Linked DNA regions of Lepisosteus oculatus. The protein of the gene in region 2 binds, or shares a complex with, the protein of the main gene of each other region. Links are inferred from orthologs where the notes say so. Each region holds a gene or a part of one and is shown on either strand. Other genes may lie near its edges. The genes, in order: fgfr3, fgf23, kl and fgfr4.

Region 1 (7,923 bases), on a different chromosome or scaffold from region 2:
TGCAAAAATCATGTGGGCAGAGCAAATCTGTAAGAGCATACTAATGCTTCAACCCATCTTCATCTGTAATTGGGGTGGGAGAACAGCAGGCAGCTTCAGAAGACGACCTACATCAGTTTCAGTGTTAGGTTCTGTTTATCTTACGTTTTCTCTTTGCCAAATACTTGCCCAGCGCCTCACCACCCTTAGTACTTAGGCTATTGCCTGTATCTGGTTTCCCGAAGTCTACATGATAAATTACAAGCCAAGTTCGTCTGCTGTGATGTTAAAGGCAATGGATTCTTAGCGCGTTTTTGATGAAGACGTCTTCTCAGTCCGCATTTTTTCAATCTGACTTGTGCCGATCTGATATATATATATAGTACATATATTATCGCTAACGCGTTTCCCTTGACTACTACCCCCAACGTCCTTCAATGGTAGAGTAAACTTGCCTATGAAGAAACCAATTGCTCGCCTATGACTTTAGAGGTACTGCCACTCCACGCATTAGAATAACCTTGTCAGTCCCAAAGCCAAATACGCCACACTCAAAAGACCAAAACGCGGAGCATGAATTCGTTACACGTGTAGAAGGACTTGTGGTCTAATGTATCCTCAAAATAGGCTTAATTCTGGGATGTTGTGCAAGAAGTGTCGTTTAGTGAAGTAAATACCTGAGGTTTAATTACAAACTAACTTGAATTTTAATGACTAATCTGTCATGACACCTTAGTTTACTTGCAAAACGAGGTGAGTAGTCTGTTAAAGCTGTGTGAGAAAAATGTATTTTATTAGTGTTCTGTTTTACTACGTTTTATAACGACGTTTCAAATACGGGTATATTAAATTCATATGCTTATATGTGCGCACAGGGAAAAATACAATACAGGCTATAGAGAGAGAAATATATCATTGCGCCTTGAAACAAAAAGTATCACACACAGGCTTTCATGCGCTTCAGACTTCTAAGACTGAACGAAACCAACGCTCTAGTTGCGCTATTGTTTCGTGACACTCCTTACAAATCTTCTCTCGGGCCCTGCGGCGTCCACCTAGAATTTCTTGCCGCCTGCTTCTCTCATTTATTTCTTCTTTTCTACCGTGAGAACGCTGGTTTGCTGTTTTAATGGCTGACGTTAGGAGATACGCATTCTTAAAATACCTGGCTTCATAACTTCATCTCACCAACATCCTTTATGCGGTGAAAATATATGTTCTGAAATCCGCTCAGAAAAAAAAAAACCCCGTCGGGTCTCTACTCCTAGTAGACCTGTGTAATGCGTGTTGAAGAGGACAAGCTGTGCGCCCACTTGTAAGTACTGACCCTTCCCCTGCCCGAGTTTACTGTAGCGCGGCCAAGACCTGCCGTTTTGCATAAAGCTTGGCTTTTTATGCTACACGGAATAAAAACAAGACCGAGCAGAAAGGGCGCGCACACTAGGGTCCCAGCGAGAGCACTCGAAATGAACATCGCCAGACCTGCTCACCTTCCACGCGTGTTGGTGAGAATATAGAAACATGTCTCGCAATTGCTACTGGGCTCGTGTTGTGTTGAATGTAGTGCGTATCGTGGTGTGTCTTTCACCTGCCTGAAAAGCACATTTTCCATAGGGACCAATACAATGAAGTAATACAAGTTTGCTAAAGTGTTACATTTGAATGCAAAGGAAGAGATAGGTCGTTTTCAGTCGGTCTTTGGGAGCTGCGACAGTTTTCCATGTCATCCTGCAAAGGCAGACTGCGTTTAAACACTGCGTTCATGAACCACACAAACCCAAAGACAGTAAAATCAATAAAAACCCGAGGCTACAACCTGTGTTCTTCCTGTGATTTCAAGAGCAATGAACCAGTAGCTACCGAGTTGTGGTGGCAGTGTCAATAGGACAGACCTCAGTTTACTCTGTGCCTCGTTCGCGTCTTTAACTGACAGAACACATAAAAATACCGTCTGGGCTTTTATTGGAATGGGAGAACATTTTCAAAGGTCCGCAATTATACCATGAAAAGACTTCAGTATGAATTTAACTCATACTAGGTTTCTACTGTCCTGAAGGTAGTAAACGCAAAATCTCGAGTAATGACCCTTTCGACAGATGCCAAAGTTTACCGAGATCTGTGCCAAACATCGGCTATAGAAACCGGCTACCGTGTACAGCAAAACACAATCCTTTTAAGTGACTAACAACTGAAAGTGGCCTCCCGTTTCGTTCATTTTACTGTACAATACCAAACCGTGCGACTGGACGAGAAACAGCAGCTCAAATTGAGGAATAGTAGAAACACGGAAGAATCGTGAGAAAATCGAGAAATTACAGTGGAAAATATGCAATTATTTTAATTGTCTCAACCTAAACGACACGGCATTCCTAGTCTGTATGGGTAAGATAAAACGATTCTTAATAATAATGAAAGTACTACTAACCCGCAGGAGACTGACAGAAGTCTTCGCTGGATGAGTTTCCAATGGTCACAATTCTTGTCAAACTGTACTGACTCTGACCAAGAAATCGGTGTCAGTCACAAACGTGCTCTTATACAGTAATAGTAATAGTAGCTGTAAAAATCCTTTCGCACAAACCCCCACTGGAGAATCACAAGCAGCGGGAAAAAAAAACACACACACAATATCCAGAAAGAGTTTCTTCTTCTGGCGGTGGCAAAGAAGGTTCCAAATTCAACAATCCCTTAAAACCACGTAGTTCGTTCGCCGCTGTCTCTATGCCCACGTTTTCTCTTTCTCCTGTAAACGAATGGCTAGTGTCTGGGGCGCCGCTGAGCCGTGCGCCGACTGTGAGACGGGAGATAGCTTCCACCGGCAGAGCGCTCCGGACAGGAGGCTGTTCATTGCCCGCCTGCTTTGCTCCGCTTGAAAAAGTGTGAGCGCTGTTACTGGCGCGGACACGAGTGTGTGTGAAAGCTTGGCTCGCAGACCTGCACTGGCAGCCCGGGGCTGAAGGCACCAGAAAAAAAAAAAATTAGCAAGGATCAGATTTCAGCCTCTAGACCCTCTGCGAGTGCTGTGCTTGTCCCAGCCCCCTTGAGAGTTAAAGGCAGCAGGCGCGATAAAATTCGGGGAGAAACGGGGCGGAGGCTACGGCAGCGGTTCCTCCCACTGTCCCCGTTTCCAACATTCAGTCACCCCTTAAATAAATGTTTAGGCTTTGACAATTTAACTCGCTCCCGTGTGCCTCGTTCCTTAACTCTCTTTAGAACTTCAGAGCTTAAATAGTTTACAGACCATTGTCTCTTGTTATGAGTTATACTGGCAATATTTAGGGTTGTTTATTTTGAAATAAATTATATATCTAGTGACATTTCTCCACAAGCAATTCACCGTGAGCTTTTTCTACCCCCGACATTTAAAACACTGTACGTGCGAATTCGTTAAGCGTTCCTTTTTCTGTGGTCTATCAGTAATATGTTAAAAAAAAGAAACGGCTGAAGGTGTCTAAATTTATCCAGCGATCAATATCCCAGGTCAATAGGCTTACTTTGAAGCTGACAACTGCCTCATAGAAAACACTCGGTTATAACTCAATTAAATGAATTAATATTCATATCAGGAGTCGTCCTTAAATTATACTAAGCATTCTGTTACATTTGCTAACAGTTAATTCATGGTTAATGTTTAAAAAAACACAGATGAAGTATTCTTTACTAACCCTCCAACTAAAAGTTTTTATACTAGCTACTTCTTGACACAAAAGAAAAACGCGTACACTAAGCTAAAACATTAATTGTATCAAATTTGTGGATGAACTTTTCTTTTGTTGTTGCACGATGAACTAAAACAGAAACTCCATTACTTCATTCAACCTCAAAAGCCCGGGCACTCAGAAAACAAGTCAAATAAAACGACGTTGTTGAACATACAACGGTTTGTGTAATTTATTTAAAATAACATGAAATACAATTGGATTTTTATGATCACGTAATATGATTCCAATCATAGACTTCTGTTGACCAAACATTTTTTTCTGTTTTGCCTCTAATTGATCGCGGAAAACCTATTAAGTATACCTTTTTAGGTTGTATCATTTAGTTCAATGAAGACGGATTTAAGTCGTGTAGCATTTTAGCGCTCCGTAACACAGTTTTAAATCTCAGATGTCCTAAAAACTGTCCCCTGTATTTGATATGCGTCGTGAATATGAATAATTGAAACTGAAATACCCGTTACACGTCTTCAGGATTTATAAAAATTGTGGTTGTGGCTCTTCTGTCATTTCATCCAATTTAAACACAAATTATTGTCTTTTTTTCACTCCTTTCTATTTAGCATGCCAACCAATACGTCAACTTTTCAGGCTTTTAAGCTTAAATTCTTTTTTAATAGGCGTAATGAAATGTGTAATAATCGGGAATGTGAATTAATCCACAGTGGGGCAGAGTCTGAACACAAAGAAATAAGCCAGTGATTTTCCCTATTAGCATATTTTGTAAACGAGAGCCCTCCCTTCCAGAGACCCGGGGCAGATGGTCTCTACTCGGCAAACACGCAGCACCCTGGCCGATCGTGTTTGCTCCCGCAACTCGGAGAATACACATTCACACAACCGGGCCCCTTTCAAACAAATCAGCCCCTATTCTCCTCTTGGTAAATAACACTGCACGACCACCGCTAACACACAACGTCACCAGGCAAAGAAAACTACATCATTGTGTTCTTCTATTTTACTGCCTTTATATTCTGGGAATCACAGCTCCGTAGCAACATAACAACAGCCGAATAGTTTTTTTTTTTTCCGGATGAAAGACTTCATCCAGAAATGAATTTCATTAAATTAACCGACATTAGACTAAAACAGCGCGAACGCCGTGTGCTGGCTGGTTGAGATGTACAGTCGACAACAATAATTCAGCCTATTTCACATCTCCAGCGCACTTCCAATAATCTCTTATCCAGTTCAGGGTCACGGTGGCCCCGAGCCTATTCCAGGAAGCACTGAACTCATGAGGTCGCAGGGAACACACAGCCACACCGGGGCCAGTTGTTCCTGATCAAACTAACCTAGCAGCATGTCTTTGGACTGTGGCAGGGAACCACAGCACCAAAAATAAACCAACACAAACCTGTGGAGAACATGCAAACTCCACACAGAAAGTAACCCAGGAATAACACCCAGCCCTTGGGGACTGCAAGGCTGCAAAGCTGACCACTGCGTCACTGTGGCACCCGTTTCCGCTGCTTAATGGTTGCAGTATTTCTTTTGCAATGACCTGTTCCTCTCTCCCTTTGTGTGTCTGTGTATGACCAAATCTTAATCTAAAATCCTACTTTATTAACTGCTGATTCTGAAGAAAGGCCAGGATATGATTGACTTTTTTGAATACGTGAGTCAGTTCCCCTCCTAGTCTTCTCTGTTCAAGATTAGGTCTTTTAGCCTGGCAGTGTAGGGTGTTCTAGGGCTGCAATATCCTTTTTAAACCCAAATTTTCCACAGTCTTCTAAATTAGGCCTCATCAGTGCACTGTGCAAATTGAACATAACATCCCTTGATTTCACTTCAGTATTTTAAACTACATATTGTTTCTCTCTGTGTTTAATTTACTTCCCATAAACTCCTATGTCTTCTTCACAAGGAGCTGTGTAAGATCACTGTTTCATTTTGTGTTTGTCGTTCTTATTTTTGCTACTTACTGTACAGTATGTTCTTGTCTACATTAAATGTCATATGTCCTGAATTGTATTGAAAAGCTCTTTGGATCTAAAGAGGAACCGCAACGCTGTTTTTATATTTTGGGGTTAGAATGAATCAGCTTTGATGAGTACATTTCAAACCACAATGAAAGTAATGTGTAAAACATCCAATTTACATCACAAAATCGACTACATTTCCAGGTATGTGCAGCACCATATACTGAGATTTCGAATGATTTAACAAAACGTCCAGTAACATGAAACGGCCCTATAAGATTGTGAAGAAGCAGGCTTGTGAACACATCTCTTTTGATCCAACAGAAATGTTGCTCTCGGCTTTGTGATGGTTTTGCCAACAAATACAACTTACTTGTTAGCTCTGCATGCAGTTGGACATTTGTGCGGTGAAACATCTTCTGCACAACCTGTACTTATTCACCCGTACATCGCAATACATCAGTCATTACAGTGACTAGTGAGCAGGAAGGGTCGTTTTAAAGCACAATTTCCGCAGACCCTTGCTCTCGCCCGTGGCAAGACCAAGGGTTTGCAAAAACATAGCAGAGTACAGGACTTTCACAAAGTTCACAATTTTGTGCTTAATTTGGGATGTGTACATTTTTGCTACACCGTAAATTCATTCATTTTGATACCAAGATTAATCACCGGTCTGAGAAATTGGGACTGCTGTCCCTCTTTAATTTGCAGCTTCCACAGCGAGTGACATTCTTTGATCATTTGGTATCATCTGTCAAGCTGGAGTAGCATTGGAATGATACCCGAGTCTAGATCATTGGTTTAAATCAGGAAGTGCAGTGGTCCCTAAACAGATCCCAGTGGTACTCCATTTATGATATCACCCCAATTTGAACATTATTGTTATTTCCCCCAGGTGACAATGAAGCTTGAATTGCATGGGATTATCATTGCCATAACCTTACACGTTATAGAGACAACATGTGTTAGTTTATAATTATTTTGTTTGGCTTTGTCAACCTATTTTGGATGGGCACTCCAGAAGCAATTTTCCATTCAACGCACAGTTCAGTGGACTTGAAGGTTTACTTGAAGTGAATGAACTTGAAGGCTGAGTGTTCGAATCCCAGGTAAGACACTGCTCTTGTACCCTTGAGTAAGGCACATCACCTAAAGTGTTTCAGTAAAATACCCAGCTGTATAAATAGGTGCTTTAGAAACAGCATTGGCCAAATGAGAGACTACTGGAAGAGATTTGTTGATGGTTGATGAATAACATCAGTACAATTGATGAAATATCATCAGACTGCAGAAGAACAACACCTCCAGACATATTCTTATTTGGCTTGGGTTGTAGAAACCAATTAGAATAAACGATCAAGATGTGGACATTTCTGCTCTTGGACAACAGGTCCTCAGAAAGCAGCATGTTTCAGTGGATTCTGAATAAATCAAAACCCAGAAAGAATAAGAAGCTTGAGGTGCACATAAGTTGATCAGCATTAAAATAGGTTGACTGTAAGTAGATTAAATAAATTGACGCTTTAAGGGAAAATATAGGCTCAGGAATTTCAAATTGCTCGTTCAAACATGTTTTCTGTTCAATTTTATATCTCTACCTCCATCAGAATTATTTAATGTTGCTGTTAACATTTACAGTATGTTATATAGAAGATTAGAGAAGTAACAAGCTCTACACACTGCATTGTAGATGGTGTATTTGTTAAACCTATGTTAAGTAATAAGTAATAAAAAAGTCATTTCAGTATAGTAAAATAGCCGTTTTGTGTTGATGTGTCGCTATCTTCTTAGAGATATTAATGATTAAGAAATTATTAATGATAAAAAAATATTACAGAAAGCATGCTTAAGTTCGTCAAACAATAAAGCACTCTAAAAACGTTTCTGTACTACCCAGTGAGTAATTTCTTCTTGTGCCAATACCTTTAAGATTTGTCCATACAGGCTGTACTCTGTACAGGCAATGTATGACCCTCAGCGGCTGCGTGTGGACTTTATTGAGATGTATTGCTCTCTGCTGCTCTAATCTACGGTGTAACAGTTTGGACACTGCTTCACCGCTTACCACTGCCCCAGCGAGCGAGCCGAGCTGTCTGATCCGAGCGCTCGCTTCGCCATTGACGTCATACAGTAGATTCACGACACTAACCCTAGCTCGACGAGTGCTCGGGGGAGGGAGGTAAGGGTCGGTGACTTTTGCGAAGTTTTAATGCAAACTGCAAGCTGTCAGCCGCGCGGTGTACAGTGAGTGCACGCGGGGAGCTAGCGAGAGATGCGAATAATACCGCACCGACATCGCATTT
Region 2 (6,844 bases):
GCATCTATATAAATATAATAAATAAGAAAAAGTGAATACATATAAATAAATACATTTTCATTATTTGGTTTTGATTTAATTTGCTGGTGGTGTCCAGCACCGATAAATATATTTGTTTCCTAGTTAAGTCTGAATAAATCATACATAGTTCATTGGATTTACCAAGTACAAGATGTCAGTATCTAAAACTGACATATGGAGGTAACAGTTAAGTTCAGAGGCCCATTATAATTAAAAGCAGAGAACAATATTTTTAATAATGCTATCAACAGAAATGAGTACTGTAAAAGTTCTCATATGAAACGTTTTCATTCTAATATAGCACTAAGGTAAAGGTGTTTAACTGTTTTGCTGGTTCTAACTATTGAAGTACTCTATTACTGTAAAAAATTAGTTAATAAACGTAAATCACGATAAATGATTTCCAACAACAAAAATCAGTGTCATACTGAGTTTTTGCAAAATTCTTAAAACACTTCTTAACACTATTCTGAAAATGATTGTGTTTAGTTTTAAGTTATATTCCATCTACTGTTTAAAATTTAACCAAGGCAAAGTGAATAGCAGAAGAAAGCAAGTGTGTGCTTAATTGAAGCTTGTCCTTATTGGATAGTTGTGGGCTACAGTTTTGTTGTCAACGCACAATGAAAATGGTGATTTCCTGTTGAAATTAATCTCTCTCCCTTTCTCTTTTTTGCGAAAACATCCCTTTTGAAGATATCTCAGTTTCAGAAGGCATTTCTGTATTGATAAAAGTAATGCATTGTAAAATTGTATCTACCTGGGATAACATATGCGGTGCTGTGCATTGTGTCTTATGGCACGGCAGAGAAGCCGATTCCTGTCCCAGACATCTCTCTGTTCTATCTGGCCTTGATCCAGTCTTGGATATCAGGCACGTTGAGGCTTCTGTCGCTAGCATAAACTCTCTAAGAATCATTCTCAGCTAGGTGCTAAATAAAAGTTCAACAGCACAGAGGCATGGCACATCAAGTTATCCTGCCGAATTGCATGGTTTTAGCCTGTCCAGGTAAATCAGTAAGTCTGAAAGACAGAGACAATATGTCACAGACACCTCTGGATAACATTTTACTGACATACATACAGTAGTGGGTTTTCAGACCAGCTGTAGAAGAACCCTACAAGAATTTGACACTATTCCTTTTTCTAACTTAGCCCCTTGAAACACTTTTGTTCACCCGCAAAAGCAGAGCTGAGTTGAATGGGATGGGACTGGACTATTTTAAGGCCTCCAAGTTATCTGACAAAAGTTGAACCGAGGGGATGACTTCAGTGAGGATGGAGGGTCAAAAGTAGGAATTAAGAGCACGTGTGGTTTGGACTGTGCCCTCTCTTATGTTCTCATGTTCTGGAAGTAGCGTGGGCTGAAGTTTTCTCTGGGTTCCAGAAGCCTCAGGGGATCGTTTGGGTCCACCTCTTCATTGTACGTCGGTCCAAGGCTCTCTCGGGACACAACGTGAGCTTCTCCGTTAAAACCATGCTCTGGGTTGGTGTTGATGGCCCGCGAGTCGGAGGTTTCCCCGTAATAGATATTGCGGGGCTTGAATAAAGCTAAGGGATCTGAAGGGTCGACGTGGTCTGAGTGGCTGATATACTCCAAAGGACCGACATGGCCATTTCTCTTGTCCCTGTGCAACAGGTGTTCCAGTGGGATGGTGTTCTTTTCAGACAGAAACAGGGAATAGGCGGGGAGATTCTGTCCAGGGACAAAAATGTGCTTGACTCCTTCGAGGTTGAGCACCAGATTGTTCTTGCAGGAATAGTACACATCTTGGTTATTTTCCAAAAGCTTGTGGTGAAATAGGCAGTCCTCTTTGTTGCAGATGGTCTAAAATGGACAAAACGATAAAGGGCTGTTAATATTGCCATGAAGACTGCCGGCATTCGGCGAAGGGAACAGAAGACCTTAGGACCTTTGGTAAATACAGTTATTATATGACACACATCTCTTCAGTCTGTTTTTTTTAAATTAGCTTGGAAATTGCCTCTAAAAACGGACGATTATTGTCGATTTTGTACTTAAAAAAGGAACGGCATTCAGCGTTACTGTCTACTTTTCTCCATCTTTTGCTCACGAGCTCACAAATCCGTTTCTACATCGCTTGTCTAGACCCCTGTAAGTATTTAAGAGGGAATGGTGGTTGATCTGCCTCATCAATAAAGTTGAGTACTCTTTGACGTGTTTGATGTTTAATGCACAGGCTATTAAGCCTGTTCAAAATGAAAATTTTGTTGTTACAGGTAGGTGAATAATAATAATAAATTATATTAAAAGCATGAGACTTTTACACTTACCGAGGTGAAAGTCTTTCCTTCTGCATCCATACACAGAAAGCGTTTACTTTTCACTCCGAAGATCGCCAAACGGTCTCTTGTTTCCGCCTTGAGTAGCAACACACCTGTTAAAAAAAATAAAGATTAAATCATAGGCTTGCTTTTTCGATCCACGGCCACAACATGACATTAAAAGTACCTGATCTCAAGCGAAAAGGTAATGCTATTCGAAAAAGATGTTTGTGTCCAGGTTTTAAATAAACCTTGTACGAACGTGAAAAGAAAATCATTAAAAAAACAGTTAACTGTGGTTCCCGTGATGTTTTCTACGCACTGTGTTGGTTTGCATCAAACTTTGAAATAAACTGGATTAATAAACTGGAAAGAAAATTATACATACTGAAGGCGTTCTGGGTGGCTGTTTTTCCCACTTGCCCATCCTCATCGATCTCCAGGTAAAAGCTCCTGGTTTCTGAAGACGTCTGCAGGTGCACGTATCTCTTCGGGTTGCCCCAGTTGGAGCTGAGGAGCGGGGATGGATTAGGGAATGAATGCACAATCTTCAAACCCTGCAACACAGCCAGGCACAGCGCAAGGAAACACGAGTGCATGTTCGGGCGAGAGGCTGCGCTCCACATCAGATTCTGTACGGTGTTAGTCTGGACCCAAGGGTTTACTTTGAAGCCGCAAAGGCCTGGTTTGCTTTATCCCGAGCCCGAGGTCGATCTGGTGCTTCCACGTTTTGGTGACTGCTATTTAAAGCCGGGCCGGCGCCCCCCCTTGGTTGCCCGCATCCTTCTCAACCCCCTGCACAGATGTGGAGGTCCCAGTGGGCCAACGGAGAGGAGGAAAGGGGAGGAAGGTTCCGACTGGATTTCATTGCCCAATAGCCCAGCGGTTTCATTGAGCAATCTCTGTTTTACATCACGCTACCGGCGTCTCCCACGCAGACCTTCCTGGCCCTCCGGACTTGCATTGAAAGTTTGTCACTTCTCTCTCCTGAGGAGCCAGGCCCTGTTCAGCGGGCAGAAGCGTGAAGATGGGATCATACACCGATAGCTGATGGTAGAAAGAAAGTGATTCACGTTGTTGTTTGTTTTTTTAAGAATAAAAACGAACAAAATGTTATAGTGAAATACATACAGTATGTCTTGATGTGCCATTCGGCGAGACTGTTGCTGCATACTGTATGGTGATTTTTATAATTATAATGAAATCAACTGAAACCATTATTATATTAAGATTTTAAATTAAACCTTTCTTACGTACATCCAAATTTCCTTCCGTTCCAATCTTAAGTAAAGTCTTTTTTTAATATTAAAGTTATTAAAGATTTTCAGAATAGTCTTTTTAATTATGGCTAATAGTGTAACTACTGTACAGCGTTTTAGTATTCATTATTTTTCTCAGGTACTGTTTCTGAAGCAGAATAAACAATCATAGAGACATGTTGACAATTTTGCTATTTCGAAAGGAATAAAATAGGACTCTTTCGAAAGCCAGTTTATGTTTGCCTCCGCTAGAATTTTGATACTACTTTTAAAAAGCATTAGAAAGACGATTAGTTAATTCGGTCTTCATATCGCGGTTTTGATATTAAATGTTAGGCTTTATTTTTGTTTTTAATAACGGATTTTCCTAGGTAAAATACGCCAGCGAAATTAAACCAACAATATGTCTATTAATGATTAAGGGCTTTGAGATATATTGTAACAGGCGCTATATACTGCAAATTCAATCAAGGGTAATTTAATTAATCCATCTTCCAAAAGAGTCCAAATTTGTAATTCAAACTTTGTGCTACTTCTCTGGTTTTTCATAACTAGCTATGCAGTACCTTACAAAACATGGACCAGAACCCCGAGTAAGCAATGATGGATTAGCACATTAGTTAATAAGAACCCCATATACTGTATGCACGATACACACCTTATACACAACCAAAGCTTTGCCTTGCTATTGATCTGATAATGCAAGCAGTTGTGTTCTGCCAGAATTTAGCTTAATCCCTAGATAGATGTTGTAATAGTGATGTTGTGGGTTTATAAGAAACCTTTATATTTATGAACTGTCCATTTTGTATCCATGGGTTTAATACCTTTCACCTAGCCGCCACAGAGCGCAGATATCTTGATGCTCTTAGCTTGAGCATGCGGTTATCGGCAAACGAAATAGATTCCGTCTTCTGCTCGGTACATCTTACAGTCTAAGTATAGTCATTCTCTACGTATAGTCATGGCACAGTATAGTCATTCTCTGAGGACACTGTGTACGCCGTTCCGTGTGGTCTTTCGCTATACAGTAAGTCGCCTATGCAAAAAAGACAATATTTCTATGCTACATTGCTCTAAGCTTTGCTATCTGCGCGGGGTTACAGTAGCATGTCCCCTTCGTAATTGCTTGAGTTTCATTCAGGTCCTCGGATTGGTCATGCTGGTGTGTGGTGTGTGCCCAGCGATGGACTGGCGTCCCGTCCACTGTGTAACCGGCCTTGAGCACAATGCTTGCCAGTGTCGCATCCCGTGACCGTGAATTGGATAATCGCTAATTGAAAGCGAGGAGAGATCCTGTACCCAGTTCATATCTTCCACGCGAAGAAGACAAGAGTCAAACTATCACCGCCAATTGTATTAGAGCCTGCATTTGCAACGAGGTTGTCAGTTGGTATGTTTGGAGTTTCTAACAGATTTGAAGACTTAATTCTGTAATTGCATCATTTAAACTAGTATTTTGGGTGGGGGGCTTTAATTCGCTAATTTATTTAATATTTCAAGAGACAGTACTCCAAAGCAGGTGGGAAAAAGAGTGACAGGGCAAAATAAAAATGTGTACTGCTTTATAAACGTATTCTTATACTCATTCTCATCGTAGCTCTCTTTTTCAAATCTGTTATAGTCAGAACTGCATATGGTCGTTGTGTGTTTACGAGCTCCTCAGAAAAAAACCCCCAGCAAATTCAATTTCCTCATTGCAGGCTTCTGCCCGAAGAGGGAGCCATGCCCTTGGTTAGTGACAGCACTGGGCGAACGTCCTCAGAACAGGGGAACGTGCCCTAGACACCTGTAAAAGGAACACATTTAACTACGAGTTTTGCCAGCGTGGATCGATGTAGTGTATTAATGGTGTGAAAAATAGACTTTTTAAACGTGAAACTGTTCTAGAAAAAATATAAACTGGAAATGCGGCATTTAAATATTTTGCGTTTCCTATCGGGGATGCCAGAGTCGTTTCGGCATGTGCTTGTGTATGGGAGGGCAGGTTTTTCGCATATGAAGCTAATCTATTTTCCTATTTTTTAATTTTTTCACAATATTTTATTGAACATTTGCCTTTATTATAGACACATATCACCAAGCAAATGGTAATCCGATTGCAAAATCTTTTACTATTCGTAGATGAACGTCATTCTCAAGTCTTTTATCACTTATTATGATACAGCTGTGTCTGCGGAACTGTCACCGTACGGTAGCTGATTGAGTGTGTGCCGCACTGGTCATTTAGATCTACAATGCTGTATGCAGAAGTTAAACGGAATTTAGACAACAAAAAAGAGAAGACCATAGCATCACCTGACTAAATCCTATTAAAATGAACGGTCTTTTTGTCAGACAAAATTTGGTGTGCCCTTATTTCTTCGAGTAAACAAGATCGCCTCCAGTTTTGCGATTTGTAAATGCATCTTAATTTGACTTCGTTTCTTGTTTTTCTTGACCGATCTATAAGTTTTATATCTTTAAATTCCCGGCAGGTTTTGGATCTTCTCATATAGAGGAAAAAATACCCGGCTGCTGTGTTCAAGTAATTTGGCTTTAATTGAAAATTATCTAATTAAGATACATCTAGATACGAAGAGGGCTCCACAGCTCTTTATTAAAGCAGAGGACCTAATAACGTTTATGAAAGCCAAACATAAATCGGTTAACCTTATTGAACGGTTTACGCTCGCACTTTTTGCTTGATGCACAACCATTCTTGCATTCTGCCTATATTTACAGCATAATGCTTACAGCGAAGTTTGTGCGCTTATTTGTCACAGGGACATCTTTAGAGCTCTCCTGCAGTACAGGGTACAGAGAGTTAGCAGTGCGGGGAAAACTAGATGAGCTCACTCTGCAAATAACAAAAGCTGAGCTTTTACTGTATATCTGATGCAGAGTCAAAACTTAAAATGGGTTTTGTCATTATGTTCTTTTTCAACCGCACACGTTTACCAGATTTGTCCAAAACCTGGGGGGCATTTTTCTGGGATACCTGACTACAAGAATTGAATTAACTTACTGTATTGCTCTTTACCGTACATAACACACATTGTTAATACTGGTAGTAACAATCCAGTATTTTAGATACAGGATAGTCCTAAAGCATAGTGTCGCTTCACATTACTGTATATTTAGCTTTGTAACTTTCTCCTTGTTGTGTGGTACATAAATGTATTTGAGAACCTTAGCTTTCTACCTCATCATCCTGTTTATAATTTAAATAATGATGATTTATAGACCAAATACGCTACCGAAGTCCGACTACAGAGCCAGACAGGAACAAGAAATTT
Region 3 (7,949 bases), on a different chromosome or scaffold from region 2:
TGCCAGACAGCAGCATGTGCCTGCCATGAAAGAGAAAACACCACAAGAATTACACTAATTCCTATCATGCCCTAAAACAGTACGAAATAACTTGATCATGTACTGTACTTACTGGCTATAATGTCTTTAACATACTAAAAAAATCTATTGTATACATCGATCCATTTTCTAACCACTTTATCCAATTCAGGGTCAGGGGGCAGTCAGAGCCTACCCTGGAAACAAACAGGTGCAAGACAAGGTACACCCTGGATGGGATGCCAGTCCATTGTAGGGCACACACTCGAATAAACACACTGGCAATAGGGCCAAAATTAACCCACCCCTATGTGTTTGGACTGGGAGGAAATGTGAGCACTAGGGGAAACCCCATACAAACACAGGTAGAGCACAGCACAGGTGCTATAGCTGATAGCACCCCAGATCCAGAATCATTCCAAGGCCCCAGTGCTACAGTAGAAGGAGGCAATGCAAACCATTGCGTCACCGTGCTGTCCCAAATGTATACACAATATAAAAACCTTACTTGTACATTATATTTTAGGCATACACAAAAGTAATAATGAAGGCCTACTGTTTCTATAATATGAGTCCAAGCAAGGTGAAGATACTGTCTACGCTTATTACAGATGTGAAATATAGCCTTATTGAGAGCATGCATATTATGCCTAAATCAGTTTTAGACTTTTGCCTTGTGATCATAATCTCAAATGATCAAGCGCTGCCTTTGGGACAAAGTGCAGTTTGATGGGTCTCAGTCTATCTTGCCTGCTAACCTGATCAAATTCTGAGGCACGCAGCAGGATGTGTTGCTACCTTAATACGAGGTCGAATATGACTGACTGGATAGAGAGAATATTTAATGTGATTTCAAGCAGACATCTTGCACCAGGAGAGAGAATGGAAAAGGCTCGTTTCCCTCACTGATCACTCACATCATCAACAGCTAAGGTTCCTGGCATATTCGAGTGAGTCATGTCTTCAGGCAGAGAAGACTCCGGCATGCAGAACGATCAGTGTTTAGATGAAGCATCTATATGTAAACTAAAAATGAAATGAATGATACATAATAATGTCGAGAAGTAGTGTAATGTTTTATAAATCGCATAAAACGGCCATCATTCAGCTTCTAATAATAAATGTCGTTATTACTGAGGGGTCACATTCACATCTAATTTACAGATGTAGTTTAAACAAAAGCGGCCAACATTCGGAAGGCTCTTGTGTTAGGAGGATGGCATTTTTCCAATAATGAAACTACCAGTAACTCAGATGGCGCACATTTTTTGATTATCGGTTAATTTCCAAAAACAAATAATCTACATTTAAGCAACAACAGCATGGTTCTACAATTTTCGTACTTACCTAATTACAATAACGTTTCGCTAATTGATAACACCTCTTCATATGCAGTAAGTATGTCTATAACAGGTGACCTTTCTTTGCATCTTATGTGATTTGAGGGTTTGAGGGTTTTTTTAACATGTGACTCAGCAAGCAAAAGGTTTGCAGATTTCTTAATGTCATGACTTTCTAACAAATTTTGTTAAGTTTAAATTTGTTTCAATTTTTAAATTCGACTTCCTCTAGAATCGATTTACAGTACGCTCCCGTTGGTACTGATACTTTTACTAATTGTTTACCTTATCTGGATCGTGTTTTACATTCAGTAAGAAACCTCTTTCAATGTGATCCTAGTATATTTCCTCATCTGTTTCAGCTTGTCCGGCTGCTTTTTCAAGATTCACGCTTGGGAGCTATTTGAAAACCATCTCTTGTGTAGCCGCAGTCTTTGAAAGCAAAGTAGGTGTACAGTGCCCGAGGTTTGTAATTTACAATATGTATGGTTACTACTAAAAGAAACTAAATAATGCCATACAGTAAAGGCATCTCACACATTAATAATACATTAATATATAATGTGAAATAATTAAATAATGTAATACAATTTCTCGTTGCGTTCTGTAAGCCACTACAGTTCTCTTTAAGCATTTTATAAAACTGGATCTACAAAACGCTTGTATTTTCAATTCAGTGTTTAAGCAGGAATTTATTACTACGCCACAGTCATCATAACCCCTAAGTACTTTCAAAAAAGAAAATCAGAAATACTGAATGTGTGCATTACCTTCAGGAGGTTATGACCCACTCTGAAAGGCAGCCCTGGATCACCTTTGATGCCAGGAGCAACCAAACCGGTGCCATATCCGTGCCAAGCCACAACGAAAGGATTGTCTATAGTGATCCAATATTTAACATCGTCCCCGAATTCTCTGAAGCAAAAATCGGCGAAATCTTTAAAAAAGTCCACTACAACCGGATTGATCCATCCTTGGTAAGTACGTTGTAAACTCTCCGGAAGGTCCCAGTGGTACAGTGTAACAATTGGCTGAACTCCTATTTCCTTCAGTCTTTGAATAAGGTTTCTGTAGTAACTCACCCCGGCTTCATTAAAGCTGCTGCGAGTCCCATTGGGGAATATACGTGGCCAGGAAAACGAAAATCTGTAGTGCGAAACCCCCAGTTTTTGGAGGGCACGAATGTCTCCGTGGATGTTGTGGTAACTGTCACTGCCCACGTCTCCTGTAGCTATCCTGTTGCCACCCCGGGTGAAAGTGTCCCACACGGACAGACCTTTGCCGTCTTTTTCAAAAGCCCCCTCGCTCTGATAAGCTGCGCTTCCAACGGACCACATGAAACCCTCTGGAAAGGTGCTATAAAGAAAGGCTTCATCCTCTGGAAAGGGGAGTTTGTTAAACCTTTCCCAGGTGTTTTGTCCGGCGCCTGGACCTCCAGCGACTCTCAGGACTTCGAAAGAAAGGACAAGACAGTGCAAAAAACTTAACTTCATACTTAATGGCCTTCGGTATTTTGTCAAGAGATAGACAGTTATTTCTTTATATTCAAAGAAGAGGTGATCATCTAGGTAAGACCAGGCGTGTGGCTTGCTTTCTTACGCACTCGTTCAAGCCGCAGGACGAACTGTCATGTACTTGAATGGCAGTTTACCCTAGCAGAGCCATTCGTTTGTAGACCTGGGTAATCTATCAATCATTACCCAAGAGTGCCCTAGCAGCGGAGCCGTTTTTCAGTGGTACCCATTCGTGTTCCAAAATAAGAAAATTATCTTTGAAATTAAAATTATTCTTTGTTTTTTTTTTCCTGCGGAAGTAAAAACAATAAAAGCTTAAACCTTCCAATGATAACTGTACAACTGTACACTATAGCTAGGAAGTTATTTTTTATACATCTTTATAAAACATAATAAAACCTAAATCGATTCGTTTGTGATGCCTACCCGTGATGTTTATACAAAGACGAACCCTTCCCTGGGTACCATTGTAACAAGGTGATTATCCTTGCAAATGTTAACAGTTATTAACAGTTTTATTGATTCAAGGAAATAAATTAATATTGTGAACTTTCCCTAATGGATTATTTTGCAACATTCACTTTTTTAAAAAAAGAAATTTGTTCCGACGTTCTCGTAGTGCATCACTAATGCGTCAAAAGGAAGATCTATATTAATCTCACATTTTTGTTGCAACTTTTATAAGACATAGGCCATTTGTCAAGTGTTGTGTCATAGACTGTGGTTTGTGTCAAGACAGCAAACAGCAAGATACAAAAACGAAATCAACCATAAGCAATATTTGTGCACAGACCTTGGAAATAAACAGGAATCTTTCAAACGTAAGGCGAAATATCCCGACATAGTACAGATGTTATTAATCTGTTTTTATATATAGAAAAATAATAAGTGAAGTAAAATTAATTCTGAGATGGGTTCAGGGGTTTCAATTATTTTAAATTAAAATCATATGACACGTTTCAGAGCTGGATGATGTGTTAAGATGTAAACAGTATACCCGACTACCACTTTTAGAAAGAACACTGATATCCTGGTTGAGATATCATGAGATCAATGAGATATCAAATTGTACTTTTGCCATATAGGTTTTAAGGACGTTAGACTGAAACAGAAGGAATGCTTTGGCACAGATACCGTACATTTCTGAACAGCTGTATTTTCGTCTTTTTGTACAAATTATACATATGGCAGCTCTTTAACGTATCCATTTAACACACAGTAACATTATTCGGTGTGTTTTATAACTGCTGTTGTTCCGTTGAGCAAGCATCTCGGTCCCACTGCTCCAGTAAATACCCTTCTGTATAAGTGTCTCCATGTCGTCCCTGTTAATGAAAACGTGTTCTTAATTGACCTACCTTGTTTAAAAAGGAATACGTATATTTTAATAAAACTTCATACTTTTTTTCTGTATCCATATTTAATATAAAGAAATACACAAAGGATGTGTTCCTTGAAATGTGCCATGGGAAATAAAGTTTGAAACTGAAAAATAACAGCAGAACCTTACCATGAAGAGAAGCTATTTAATTGCTAGGGCATTCACCCACACATTTCTTTTTTCGTCAGTTCTTTCAGTCATCCTAACTAGCAACACAACTAATAACGGCAATCTAAAGTTGAAAATGTACATACAGTAAATATATTTTTAAAGGAAATTTATTACCTGACCTTGACATCTGTTGCGATAAACTTTGAGGATTATTATCAGGCAGACCGAAACTAGGCTGTTACGTCTCCTAGGATACCAATCATAAATCTACAGATAAGCTATCTGCAAACAGGAAGAAGCTTTCAAATGAACCTTTTAAATTTAAGGCAAACAAGCCTAATGCATATCAGAGGCTTAGTCCAAAAGGAGAGAAGATCGTATTAATTGCATTAATCGATTCGCTAACAACCTTACATCATTTTGGGCAATGAAAATGCATTAAAAAAAACATCGTTTCATAATTCGCTAATTATCAGGGTCCTTGTGCTTACTCCTATGAAGAAGAACCCTGATTCTGAAACGGTATTTTTTCTTTAATATGATATCTGGTTCAGTTTTTTTTTTTGTTAAAGCATCACGGCAAAGCAAATTGCAGCGCTTAAAATATTAAAAAGCTTTTTGAACATTTTATAACATTTGGTACGCTGCCTTTCAGTCTGTTTCACCTAGCCATCTGTCATACATGGGCAGGTTTTCTGAACATCATAGAAGCAACTGCACAAAGCTAAATAAATCGTTTCTCCGCCACGCACCAGAGAGCTAATTATTCTGTAAATGTGGTGTTCTGTTAAGCTTTACAGGCATAAACAAAGTTATTTATACTTTGTTTATGCCTGTAAAGCTTTTGAATGTTAAAATGAGGATATGTGCTTTTGTGTAAGTGAGCTTGTTATAAAGTGATATACAGGGTAGAGGTCTAGTTTCAGAGCCTGTACTGTCAACATCGTCAACTGTGAGTTAGATGGCTCTGGCTTTTATGTGAGAACAGAGCACAGGGAAGTCTTGTCAACAATAAGGAGCAAGTAACCTGACTCACAAGAACTGGTTGTCTTTCTTGTCTTGATGAAGCGAGAAAAGGGACGAGAGAGAATGATCTCCTTGTACAGTACCAGAAAAACAGAGAAGCCTATGAGCCGACATGTTCTAAACTAAAAAAATATGTATAATTTACTCAGACCTGAGACAAACATGAGGGATGAACTGAATAGCAAGGTTAGAGCTGCTAAAAGTTTTTTAAAAATTGTAATGAATGTACCATTCAGTAAGTGGCTGCAACTAAAAAAGACACTGTTATGTTATGGTAGGGGGTTAATAATTTTTGTAAGCCCCTATGCAAAGCAAGGCAAGGTATTGTGTGAGAAGACATGACTGCTGCATCACTTAAGTTACCTGAAGGAGTGACTGAGTTATGGCAAACATTTAACATGGAAAGCAGTTGCCTCATATCCTACTAGATAAAAAAACAGTATGTACATACTGGTTAGTATCAATGGTGGTCCTAGAATGAAATAATGTCCTATTGTATTTACTAATGAAAGTAGGTTTGAGATTGAGAAGCAGAAAAATAGGAAAAGAGGAAACCCGCACATCTACACTTGTCTTACTGCTGTTTATCGCGCGCTTCTCTTCCTCTCTTACTGTTGATGGAAAAATGAGATTCCAGTCTTATCTCAAGGGCAGATAACTCTTCCTCCAGAAAAGAGTATGGGATTCAAGCTCAGAGCTGTGCAGCCTCAGTCACAGTCCACTGATGCTCGAGATGTGGATCAAGCCGATTCATTATGTGAGGAAGAATTACATCAGTTTAAGACTTGTACATATTAAAGTCATTTCAGAAACTCTCGGGAATGTTTGATGACGTAGTGCACAACCACAGAAATGTATTATTTCCTAGAGTACAATAACCTGTCTTATGACCAGGTATCCAGTGCAGTGAAGTAGGGTTCCCATACACATACAACAAAGTGAATTCTTTACAAAAAAGGCTCTCAGGAGCAACCACCTTAAATCAGATTTTCTGTAGCTCACAGAAAAATCTGCTTATACGGAAATTTTAATTGTTGAATTAAATGGAAGGAGCTAGTGACCTCACTCATAAAACAGTGGAAACAGAAAACAAAATATCTCAGATGAAACTGTCTTAGGCCTTGTCAAGGTGATTATTTTTTCTCATTCTGTGACACTTAAGAGCTGTTCTGTGACCCCTTCAGAAAGTGTGCTTCTCTGTGCTGATCACAAAAGAAAAAGTGCTCAGCAATAAATTAAATGGAACAAAAAAAAAATCGACCACAGGTACAAGGTACTCTAATGAAAAGGAAAGGTTAATTATATTTGTTTCCAGAACAAATGTAACATTTGGAGGAGGAAACATTAAGAATGTCTAGTCCACATAAATTTTAACCCTGATATCAAAACCCATTGCTTCACTTCTTGAATATTTTCAACTCATTTATTAAAAAAAAACAGCACCCATTGTATTAGAATATGCTTAATCAAAGGAAATACTATTATGCTGGTAATATTGATACTGATATTATTTTTGTTTGTTTTGGATATTAAATGTGTCCCTTTAATTAATTTCAATGTAATACCCAGTGTTTAATTTTATCTCCAAATCATGTGCTCCGTACACATTAATCAATGTAATTATTCTCTTTATCTGGCAATATTTGGAATATTATAACAAAGTAGTTTAAAAACCCTTTTTACAGATTAATGGAAGATATATGATGGACCAGGTCATCAGAAAAGGAAATTACAACATGAGAAATGAAGCAAGATAACACAAGAACATCCTTCAAAATAAAGGGATTAAGACTTGAAATGTTGATGTTTTACTAATGGATTTGCTCTAGTTTGTATTGGTAATCTGTAAAGAAGGTGTAATAAAGACGATACAACTGTTGTTGGCTTTTCCTCATGACGAAAACAGTAATGAAGTAATTCAGTTGGTAATGAAAATGTATGTACTAAGACTAAGTGGCTAAGGGATAGTGTGTCTTAATCTAGGTGCAATTTATAAGATTTAATGAACCTTTTCAGATAAATAAACCCAGCAGGCAAGGACACCTAAACAAAGTCAAAGCCATAAATCAATTAGATAAACCCCCACACAAACTCACAAAAAGAGGATGAATCATAAGACCTTACTGTCATTTTCACCATCAAATCTGTGGGAGTTTTATAACAAAATTAACCCTTTAAGATCTGAATGAATATGTTGTGTGAAAGATTGCTTGACGTTTCCATATGAAGTCAAATCGAATTCACACGTGCATGGATACAGGGAACACAAATGATACCGTTTTTAATTTACCGTTTCAGCTGACTTGTTTATTTTTTCAGGTCAGATTTTACAAACATGTGGATAACGGTCACTTACTTAGTGCTCTCTCAGACTAATGTCCCTTCTAATATTCAAGGGATTCATAAAACTGAGCTTTGTTGAAATCCAAAAAGCAAACCTAGGCAAATCTTTGGTACTGTTAGGAAATTAACTGTCATTATTGTAACACTGTAATACCATTGGCCTTTTCCTTTTCCCTGGTTGAAAAAAAGCTGTTTTTTTATTAAGTTGTTTTACTT
Region 4 (7,404 bases), on a different chromosome or scaffold from region 2:
TGTGTAGAATCCGAAGAGCAGGGAGGAGGGGATTGTTGTGGCTCTGATTGTGTGATTTAATACCAACTGCGTGAACCGAGCCAAGGGGATTTTGTTTTTGGGGATTGTGTGTGTGTGTTTGGCGGGGGGCGGGTAAAACCTAAATGTCCTCCGCCAAGGGACCCGAGAGTCCTGGCCGAACTCTGGTCAGACTCGGAGCTGCACTCCCGCCGGGAGGAGGACAAGGCGAAGATGAGGACGATGATGAGGAGGAGGATGGATGTTCCAACATTCGCTTTTTCAGGTCTCTTCAGAAGACTCTCTAGTAACGGGGATGCTGTGCGGATGTGGGCGTGAGTGAAATGAGTTTGCCGGTGTGTGCTCAGCTGGGAAGGATTTAGCCTGCAGAAAGGAGGCTCAGGGAGGAATACCTGGATTATCCAGAGGGATTTACTGCTCCAATTCAGAGCAGCACTAATCAATTTCAGGCAATCGGCACCATGCACCCCCCCCCAGCCCACACGAGCCAGCACAGCCTTCCCAGTACGGCTCCTTCTACATAGTGGTTTGCCCAACACCCCTCATGTGAAACACATCTCTGTCTTAAGGAAAATCCAAGCACTTTCATCATTCTGATGTAGTAAATCTGCTTTAGAATCTGACACAATTACTCAAACCAAGATTAAAAAGGAAGCTCCTATCACTGTAAAACCCTCTACAAGAACAAAACCAATTACTCTGCAGCTTGCCGTGTAAAATCACACTACCAAACGGATATCCAACTTGTCGTGAAAAGAACGCGGAGCGCATTTGCTCTCAATGTTGCGGCGACTGTAGTAACGCTTTCATGCGCACTGCTCAGTTATATGTGGTGATCATATTCCTTCCACGGAAAAATGTTGCCTTACACCACTTTCAAGTCTTAAGACAGATCTCCAAGCTTATAAAAAGTATTCCAAATAAAATATCCATTGTATTCGACTACAGTTTTGCAATGTAACGGAAGTCTCAGGAAATTTAAGGGTGGTGTTTATAACTGATGTTTGGCTTCATCTGTGGTATTTCATATGGGTTTGGCAGTACATTGCATTCTACTCTTTGAAATGTAAGAAATAAGGTTATCTTTTCAACACTTTCTCTGCTGTAAAAACATAGGACATATCAATCAAGCAGTTGCGAAAGTCATTCTCTGCCTTTCCCAAAATCCTCAACTTTTAACTTGTGCATCAAAAGTAGAAGCGGATATGTTATTGCAATGATACCAGTTTGCTTTTTAATCTTGGTTTGGGTAACCGTGTCAGATTCTCAACAAGGGCACGTTCAGAATCTGATAAAAATGCGTCCCGGGCACGATGCGATTGTATTTTAGAGGCTGATACGGTACAGAGAGGAATCTGCATATCCTTTTCAGAGCGTGGTTCAAAGCAAGTAGGTACAGCGCAAGCTGGAGAGAGAATGTGGTTACTGGCAGTCAGCCACACCATGACACCATTGTTTCTGATGAGTGAAAGATATTCCCCTCTCATGCAGAAAATTATTGGCAAAGGCCTCAGACCTGCTCACCACATCTAGCTTGCGGAAACTCTGGTGGGTGCTGCTGGTTAGAGGCTTGTATCACTGTTACCTCTGAGAGGCAGTGTGGGCTTCTAGCCCTACACCACCTCGGCTTCGGAAACAAACCCAGTCTCAAGCTAGATCGCCCCCCCCTCCCCGAGGCTCGGGAAAGGTAGGACCTCATTCTCACTTCACACCAGTTCAATTATAACCCTGCCTCCACTGATCTAATTAAAGAAATCCTCGCCGTTTTCCTTCATTGGTGCGATTTTGAGAGCTGTTTGGGCAGTGCTTTTATGCTTTTGCTGTGTTTCTCGCATGAAGTCACTCTAGCTCTGCTGAGAATTGCTCGGGTTCTGTCTTCACTGCAGTCTACGACTCTGGACCAGGGGAATGGTGAGATGTTCTGAGCCAACAATGACCATGAATAATGTTTACTACAGTAGCCTACAGCTCCTAAGGCCTCGCCAGCAAAGCGAAGGCCTACTATAAATTCAAGACATCCACCGCAACCACAGCACAACTAAGATAATGTCATGGCAAAAGAATGAAAATACTATAATAAATCTACCGAGTTGATTTATTACGGATTGTCTTTGGCATACTGCTGTTAGATAAAATCGTTCATATCCAGCTAAGATCGTTTGAAGAAACTTGCCAAGGAGAAACTCTGAAACTCATATTTTTATGTCTGCTTCCAGTTTCACTAGGTCCTTCTAGGTTCTAATCAGCACGCGAAACCAATCTCGAGACCCGGGAACAACGCTGAAAATAACACATGAGTATGAAAACAAGGACAGCTTGGCTTTCTCGTTCAAATCAGCCAACAATAACAAAATCTAACGATTAACAATAACCATTTTCCGAACAGATTCCACTTACCAACCCCACATCAAAGTGTTTTTGGAGTGATTCATGTCAACGCAAAGGATGTGCCAGCGCTGTTTCAATACCAGTCAGTTGGTTTCCCATAATGTATGCTTCTCTGCTTTTCTGTGTGCTGCTGGCTTCTTCATATTACCGACTTCGGGCAGAGCAAACTTTCAGGACAGGATGGGCTTTTGTGGTAGAAATCAAATCACTTCTTCACTCACTCAGATGTTTAAAAGATTTGATTTCCTATCATTACTCGTGAACTAGATTTACCAGGCAGTCAAGCAGGACAGCAAGAGAGTCGTTGTGAGTTTGTGTGTGAATGTCTGACAGGATCAAACAGCCGTGTGTATTTGCTCAAGGTAAAGGTTGTGTATTCATTGGTCTGTTAATCTAAAAACAAAGTGACTGAGGGAGAGGTGACAGTCAAAAATAAAGAGTAAAAATGCACAGGTCTTAGGCTTAGTCATAGGCTAACCCTGGAGACCCTGAGAATTTCTGACTTTTATTTTGTATTTCATTTCACTGTCAGTCACATCTTGCTACAAGTGCTGTGTATCACATAGGACAGTTTCTAGTGCATTTTTGGAGAAAGCAAAAAGTGGATGAGTCCTGCTGTACGTAAAGTAGTCTTTCAGTATAGTACATACAACAGGACCTCTCCCTGAATCTGACTTAGAAACAGTTTAATTCCCAAGACAACATGCAGTATACTGCACTTCCTAAGAGAGCCTGGAACAATTGCAAGGTTACTGATGTTGTGTACTGACCCACTGGTTGGAAACCTAATCTATTTTCTAGGGTTTTTGTAATAGGAGTGACTTCTACAAGAATGGCAATATAGTGTAGGATTCAGATTTAAAAAATAAACCTATAGTGTTTTTGTTTCAAATGAAATACAAAATTGAAATCCATCAGATACAGCGATAAAGATACGACATAAATTAAACACCACCCATCTAGAGATTGATTTTCTAAAAGAATGGATTGCTCGGAAATGAGCACGAAAGAGATTATCCGTGTAGAATAACATTTTCGACGGTCAATAATGTCGTCAGTGCGGCACTTTGTACTGCTGTATGTTACTTACAAATTCAACTTAAAAGTTAAACAGTGACGAAATGCAGAAAACGACGAGCTCTGTGTGTGGAATACCGGTAACGGCCTGTAGGCGTGATGCATACACGAACCTTCAGATTCAGCACTTCATCGCTTAATAAGTCTGAAGTTACCAATAAAAGAAGCTTCCGATCGGTTTGACGGACTTCGCTTTGACCTACTCCGGGTTCTGCAAAAATCTGCTAATGGGGATTTTTTTTTTGGTAAAATCATTCTCCACAATAACGGAGAAATTGACCGACAATATAACGTTTTAAAATAAAAACTACACACACTGCATAAAATGCAGGGATGTCCACAATAGTGAAGTTTAGGAGTAGGACAATTGCCTATGATGGGTGCTATTAGTGTCAAGCATGCTTTAGTGAATTGTATACAGTGTACATACAACACATGAACTGCTTGTACAGGTATGATAAAAAGGCACAGAACTATTTTAAGACTACAAACACACACTTAAATCTTTGGGGGGAACGAATATTAACCATTGTGGTCTCGGATTCTACCGTCATTTTATAGAATATCCGACGCAACGCTGTTTCTCTCCGTTTCAGTAAGAAAATAAATGCATTATTGCCAACATTTGTTTTTCTAAATTGCAAGCAGAAAAGGCCCGGGCTGTTGGTCCGTTCGGCCTTCATTTCCAAAGTTACCGTCGCTCAGAAGCAGCAACTATTGTATTCTGGCTTTCATTAAGAAAAAAAAAAGGGTAATACATTTCTCAACTACATTCCGAAGAAGCGCTTTAAAAACGGACGAGTGAATGAGAGTCGTTGTGCACACAGCACATCTTAGGTTTGGATTTGGCGCTTGGATGCTGCGAGGGGGGTCTGTGAGGGAATTATTTCGGGGGGAGGGTAAGAGAGTCATTCCCCCCTCCTCTTTCTCATTCTCCTTTAAGTCTATTGTTGCGAGTCTTGTGCTTACACTGCCCGGAGCTACTATCAGTACTAAAATGCTCGGAGCGGCTTTGCGCTGTAACCGGAGAGTCGCTAATTGAGAACCCTGGACCTTCTGGCTTCCTCCCGGACGAGCCATTAGTGAAGAGATACCGAGCAGAGCGGTGCACAGACTCCGCATCTGCTGCGTCGCTGCAGTCGATGTCGTTTTTTTAAATTATTTACGTCCCAAGTCCTGCAGCAGGGGTGAAAAACAGAAAGCCTACACGATCAACACCTTTCAGCGGAGCCGCGGAAGACAAGCGAGAATCCCGGAGAAGGGCAGGAGGAAATGTTGTTCGGGGATTTGTTGTTTGTAATGGATTTTGCTATGTTTTTTTGCTGGGGCTTTTGACTCCTGAATTTGCGTGTTTTGTAAGCTGTTGTGTTTTTTTTTTTTTGCTTCAACCTACAAGGAATCGGTTGTTTTTTTTATTATTTCGGTCTGGAGAAAACACAGCCAGGACGCTGGACTTGTTTCGGACTTTGCACTCAGTACCAGGGTGTCAGTGCCTCCGGGGACTCGCAATTTCAGAAGCTAAACCGTAGTGTTTGGGGATAAATCCGTGCAGCTCTTTTCTCCCGGAGGAGGAACACTTGAGTACCCGAAGCTCGGGTGAGGCCGCAGAACTCGGGACCCAAGTCCTAAATGGGGATCCATCTCCCCGATGTCTTGGAATTGTGATTTATCGAATTATTGACTCATCGGTTCGCGGATACGCCAACAACCCAAGATACCGAGGCAAGGTAATTACAAATCTTAAACCATTCCCACCTTTCCGTGAAACATGAGCTCTGAAACAAAATTAGGACTTTATTTCGTGATGAGGGATGTTTATTACAGGGCTTTGAGCGAGGTGCCTCTTCGCTGTGTTTTTAATTCTCGTTTTTGAGAATGACGACTGTGTGTGCGCTCGCAAGTAAGCGTCTCCCCGACCAGTTACGCAGCCCGTGGGGGCTCTAGTTGTGTTGCAGAAGGGCTGGTGTTTAATTATAGGTTTCCTCGGCAGTTTGGAGCGAAGTCTCAAGTGCTCCGGCTAATTTTGGAGTTTCAACCAAATTCCACAGACCGGTGACACCGCAGCTGCAGTCTCTCTAGACTCCGGTGCTTACCGACCTCTCTGGACATCTCTGCCTCTCTGTCTCGTCAGATGTTTCTAAAAACAGAAGTGAGGTGGGAAAAAAAGTCGTTTTCCCTAGACGGGTGCGTGTCCCGTAGTTGGATGAATCAATCACTCGAGCTGTATGAAACAAACGTTGCGCGCGTCCTTTCTATGTCCAAGAGCAATACGCTGTAAAAATGAAAACGAATACCTGAGTTGATTTGAAAAAAATAAATTAATAGGACGAGTTAAATTGAAATGAACACCCAACAAGGTAGTCGGTATGAGGCCAGTTCTAAACTCGCCAGCCGGCGTGACTTAAAAAGGCAGTGGACTCGGTATCCAGTGTTTGCGCAGTAGTTAAAATTTAACCAAAGATACAAGTTGGAAAGGAACAGAGCTAAAAGGACCCCTGCCTTTGATTTACGGTGGATGCAGAGTCACCGAGGGGGGGGGCTGCTAAATTTAGCCTGGGCTAGTAGTACAAAACTGTGTGTTACCTTGACCATCGAGTCACGTACTGTAGAGCTGGGCTCCGGTCGCTTGCGTTTTTCTCTCTTGTAGCTCCGAGACACGTGAAGTGTGGACTCACCATTTTTTTTACCATTGGTTTACTTCAGCTGCCTTGGCACGCCTAAAAATTATTTTTTTAAAAAAAGAATAAACCTTTGTTGAGTTTCCGGTATTTTTTATTACTGCGAGCTAGGTCTCGGTTAGCGTACGTGCGAATGTGAGCGTAACGCGATGGGTTGAAGTGTTGAAATACAATATCCCGATATCAGGGCCATAGACGATGAGACATCCTGAAAGGCATTGAATGAAATGATGCGAAAGTGACACGAATTCTGATTCTAAGCCATTGTTTTTTCCCCAAAAAAAGTCGCATAATTTTATCGAAACACGCGATGGCCAAGTAGCTGGAACAAGTCACACCGGACGCTTCTGCGCTAATCGCCGGGGTCTGCCCTCGCACTTTTAACGCTGTTTACTTGGTACTCCTTGGATTAAAAAAAAAAGAAAGAATCCCATCCCCATCTTTCCAAGCCCGTGTCGCCGTGGCAACGGCTCTCGGGCTCCCCTCCGAGCCCTCGGCTGGTGCCAGGGAGCGACAGTCAACTGCACTTTCTGCGCGCTGTGATGGGAGGGCGGGGCGGGACAGACGTGAGACAGATGGCAGTTGCGACAAGTGAACCGAGCCTGGTTGTGTTCCCTTGATAAGATCGGAAAGGCGCTGGCCGTGGCCTTCTCCCGGCTGTCCCGAAGGGTCTGTCCGCTGTGAACTGTACAAAGCACTCTTGAGGCGAAAGTGTTCTTCGGCGGTGTTGAAGGGCATTTTTTTCCCATGCAACACCCGACACGACTTGCAGTTAGCAAAATGCGAGAGAAAGCATAGATATCGGAATAAATGAGCGTTAATCTGTGTTTTTTCCCCCCTGTGATTCGTGATTTTAGAGGTGTGTGGTTACATTATTTATATAGTATATAAGTCCTAAGTGCACAGTAACGAGAATATGCTGCCAAAGATGATCGGCCGTACGCCACAATGCACGGACTGTCTCTCACAGTGTTTTCTTTCATTAAACATCAACAGTGTGCAGTCTGTTTGGTGCTGGGGTGTGTTTTAGGTGAGAAACTTAGTTTAGAAACTTACAGTTTCTCTGGAGAAATGGCCATTAGGAGCAGCTCTTTCCTGGAGCATGTTTGGAGTGAATTTCTTACACAGGAAAATACTCCAGAAAAGACTTGTTTTCTCCATAGTGGCTGATCATAAGTGAAACTAAATGTCGCAGAACGTCAGTCAGCTGTCCTGTCTCTGGCTGCCTGCATATAACAGGGCA

The links.
Region 1: the proteins of fgf23 (region 2) and fgfr3 are in contact, whole or in part, in a cryo-EM structure (PDB 7YSU), measured with the Homo sapiens proteins. The link is inferred for Lepisosteus oculatus from reciprocal best matches to the Homo sapiens genes FGF23 and FGFR3. Residues at the interface, in NP_065689.1 of Homo sapiens: Ser29, Leu32, Gly33, Ser34, Trp36, Tyr43, Ala45, Ala47, Arg48, Asn49, Ser50, His52, Ile75, Arg76, Ser77, Glu78, Asp79, Ala80, Gly81, Val83, Val84, His117, Gln118, Thr119, Asn122, Gly123, Tyr124, Asp125, Leu158, Ser159; in NP_000133.1 of Homo sapiens: Glu157, Arg158, Asp160, Lys161, Leu163, Leu164, Ala165, Val166, Pro167, Arg223, Asp244, Leu246, Glu247, Arg248, Ser249, Pro250, Val277, Tyr278, Ser279, Asp280, Ala281, Gln282, Pro283, His284, Ala312, Gly313, Ala314, Thr316, Thr317, Asp318.
Region 3: the proteins of fgf23 (region 2) and kl are in contact, whole or in part, in a cryo-EM structure (PDB 7YSH), measured with the Homo sapiens proteins. The link is inferred for Lepisosteus oculatus from reciprocal best matches to the Homo sapiens genes FGF23 and KL. Residues at the interface, in NP_065689.1 of Homo sapiens: Leu39, Met74, Ala80, Val88, Arg91, Leu166, Ile167, Phe169, Asn170, Ile173, Arg175, His177, Asp184, Ser185, Glu186, Arg187, Asp188, Pro189, Leu190, Asn191, Val192, Leu193, Lys194, Pro195, Arg196, Ala197, Arg198, Met199, Thr200, Pro201; in NP_004786.2 of Homo sapiens: Phe377, Lys385, Leu389, Glu390, Pro392, Trp417, Phe418, Ser420, Lys429, Tyr432, Tyr433, Lys436, Phe437, Arg468, Ser471, Ile472, Arg556, Arg693, Asn694, Met695, Thr696, Tyr697, Ile735, Val752, Phe755, Asp756, Asn782, Asn783, Leu785, Ile812.
Region 4: the proteins of fgf23 (region 2) and fgfr4 are in contact, whole or in part, in a cryo-EM structure (PDB 7YSW), measured with the Homo sapiens proteins. The link is inferred for Lepisosteus oculatus from reciprocal best matches to the Homo sapiens genes FGF23 and FGFR4. Residues at the interface, in NP_065689.1 of Homo sapiens: Leu32, Gly33, Ser35, Trp36, Gly37, Tyr43, Ala45, Thr46, Ala47, Arg48, Asn49, Ser50, Ile75, Arg76, Ser77, Glu78, Asp79, Ala80, Gly81, Val83, Val84, Tyr93, His117, Gln118, Thr119, Asn122, Gly123, Tyr124, Asp125, Leu158; in NP_001341913.1 of Homo sapiens: Glu156, Lys157, Lys158, Leu159, His160, Ala161, Val162, Pro163, Asn166, Asp240, Leu242, Glu243, Arg244, Ser245, Pro246, Lys272, Val273, Tyr274, Ser275, Asp276, Ala277, Gln278, Pro279, His280, Ala308, Asp309, Ile310, Ser312, Gly336, Asn337.

What each region holds. Positions count from the first base shown.
Region 1 is NC_090696.1:5,985,731-5,993,653, reverse strand, and holds the start of fgfr3 (fibroblast growth factor receptor 3), read right to left. Parts: upstream 3,008-7,923; 5' UTR 2,405-3,007; intron 1-2,404.
Region 2 is NC_090702.1:6,867,331-6,874,174, forward strand, and holds the start of fgf23 (fibroblast growth factor 23), read right to left. Parts: upstream 3,016-6,844; 5' UTR 2,934-3,015; coding exon 2,696-2,933; intron 2,421-2,695; coding exon 2,317-2,420; intron 1,850-2,316; coding exon 1,355-1,849; 3' UTR 1-1,354. UniProt on the Homo sapiens protein: Regulator of phosphate homeostasis. Inhibits renal tubular phosphate transport by reducing SLC34A1 levels. Up-regulates EGR1 expression in the presence of KL. Acts directly on the parathyroid to decrease PTH secretion. Regulator of vitamin-D metabolism.
Region 3 is NC_090700.1:14,866,845-14,874,793, reverse strand, and holds the start of kl (klotho), read right to left. Parts: upstream 3,018-7,949; 5' UTR 2,852-3,017; coding exon 2,129-2,851; intron 1,824-2,128; exon of another isoform or gene 1,721-1,823; intron 1,413-1,720; exon of another isoform or gene 1,201-1,412; intron 21-1,200; coding exon 1-20. UniProt on the Homo sapiens protein: May have weak glycosidase activity towards glucuronylated steroids. However, it lacks essential active site Glu residues at positions 239 and 872, suggesting it may be inactive as a glycosidase in vivo.
Region 4 is NC_090706.1:39,850,629-39,858,032, forward strand, and holds the start of fgfr4 (fibroblast growth factor receptor 4), read left to right. Parts: upstream 1-4,385; 5' UTR 4,386-5,210; intron 5,211-7,404. UniProt on the Homo sapiens protein: Tyrosine-protein kinase that acts as a cell-surface receptor for fibroblast growth factors and plays a role in the regulation of cell proliferation, differentiation and migration, and in regulation of lipid metabolism, bile acid biosynthesis, glucose uptake, vitamin D metabolism and phosphate homeostasis.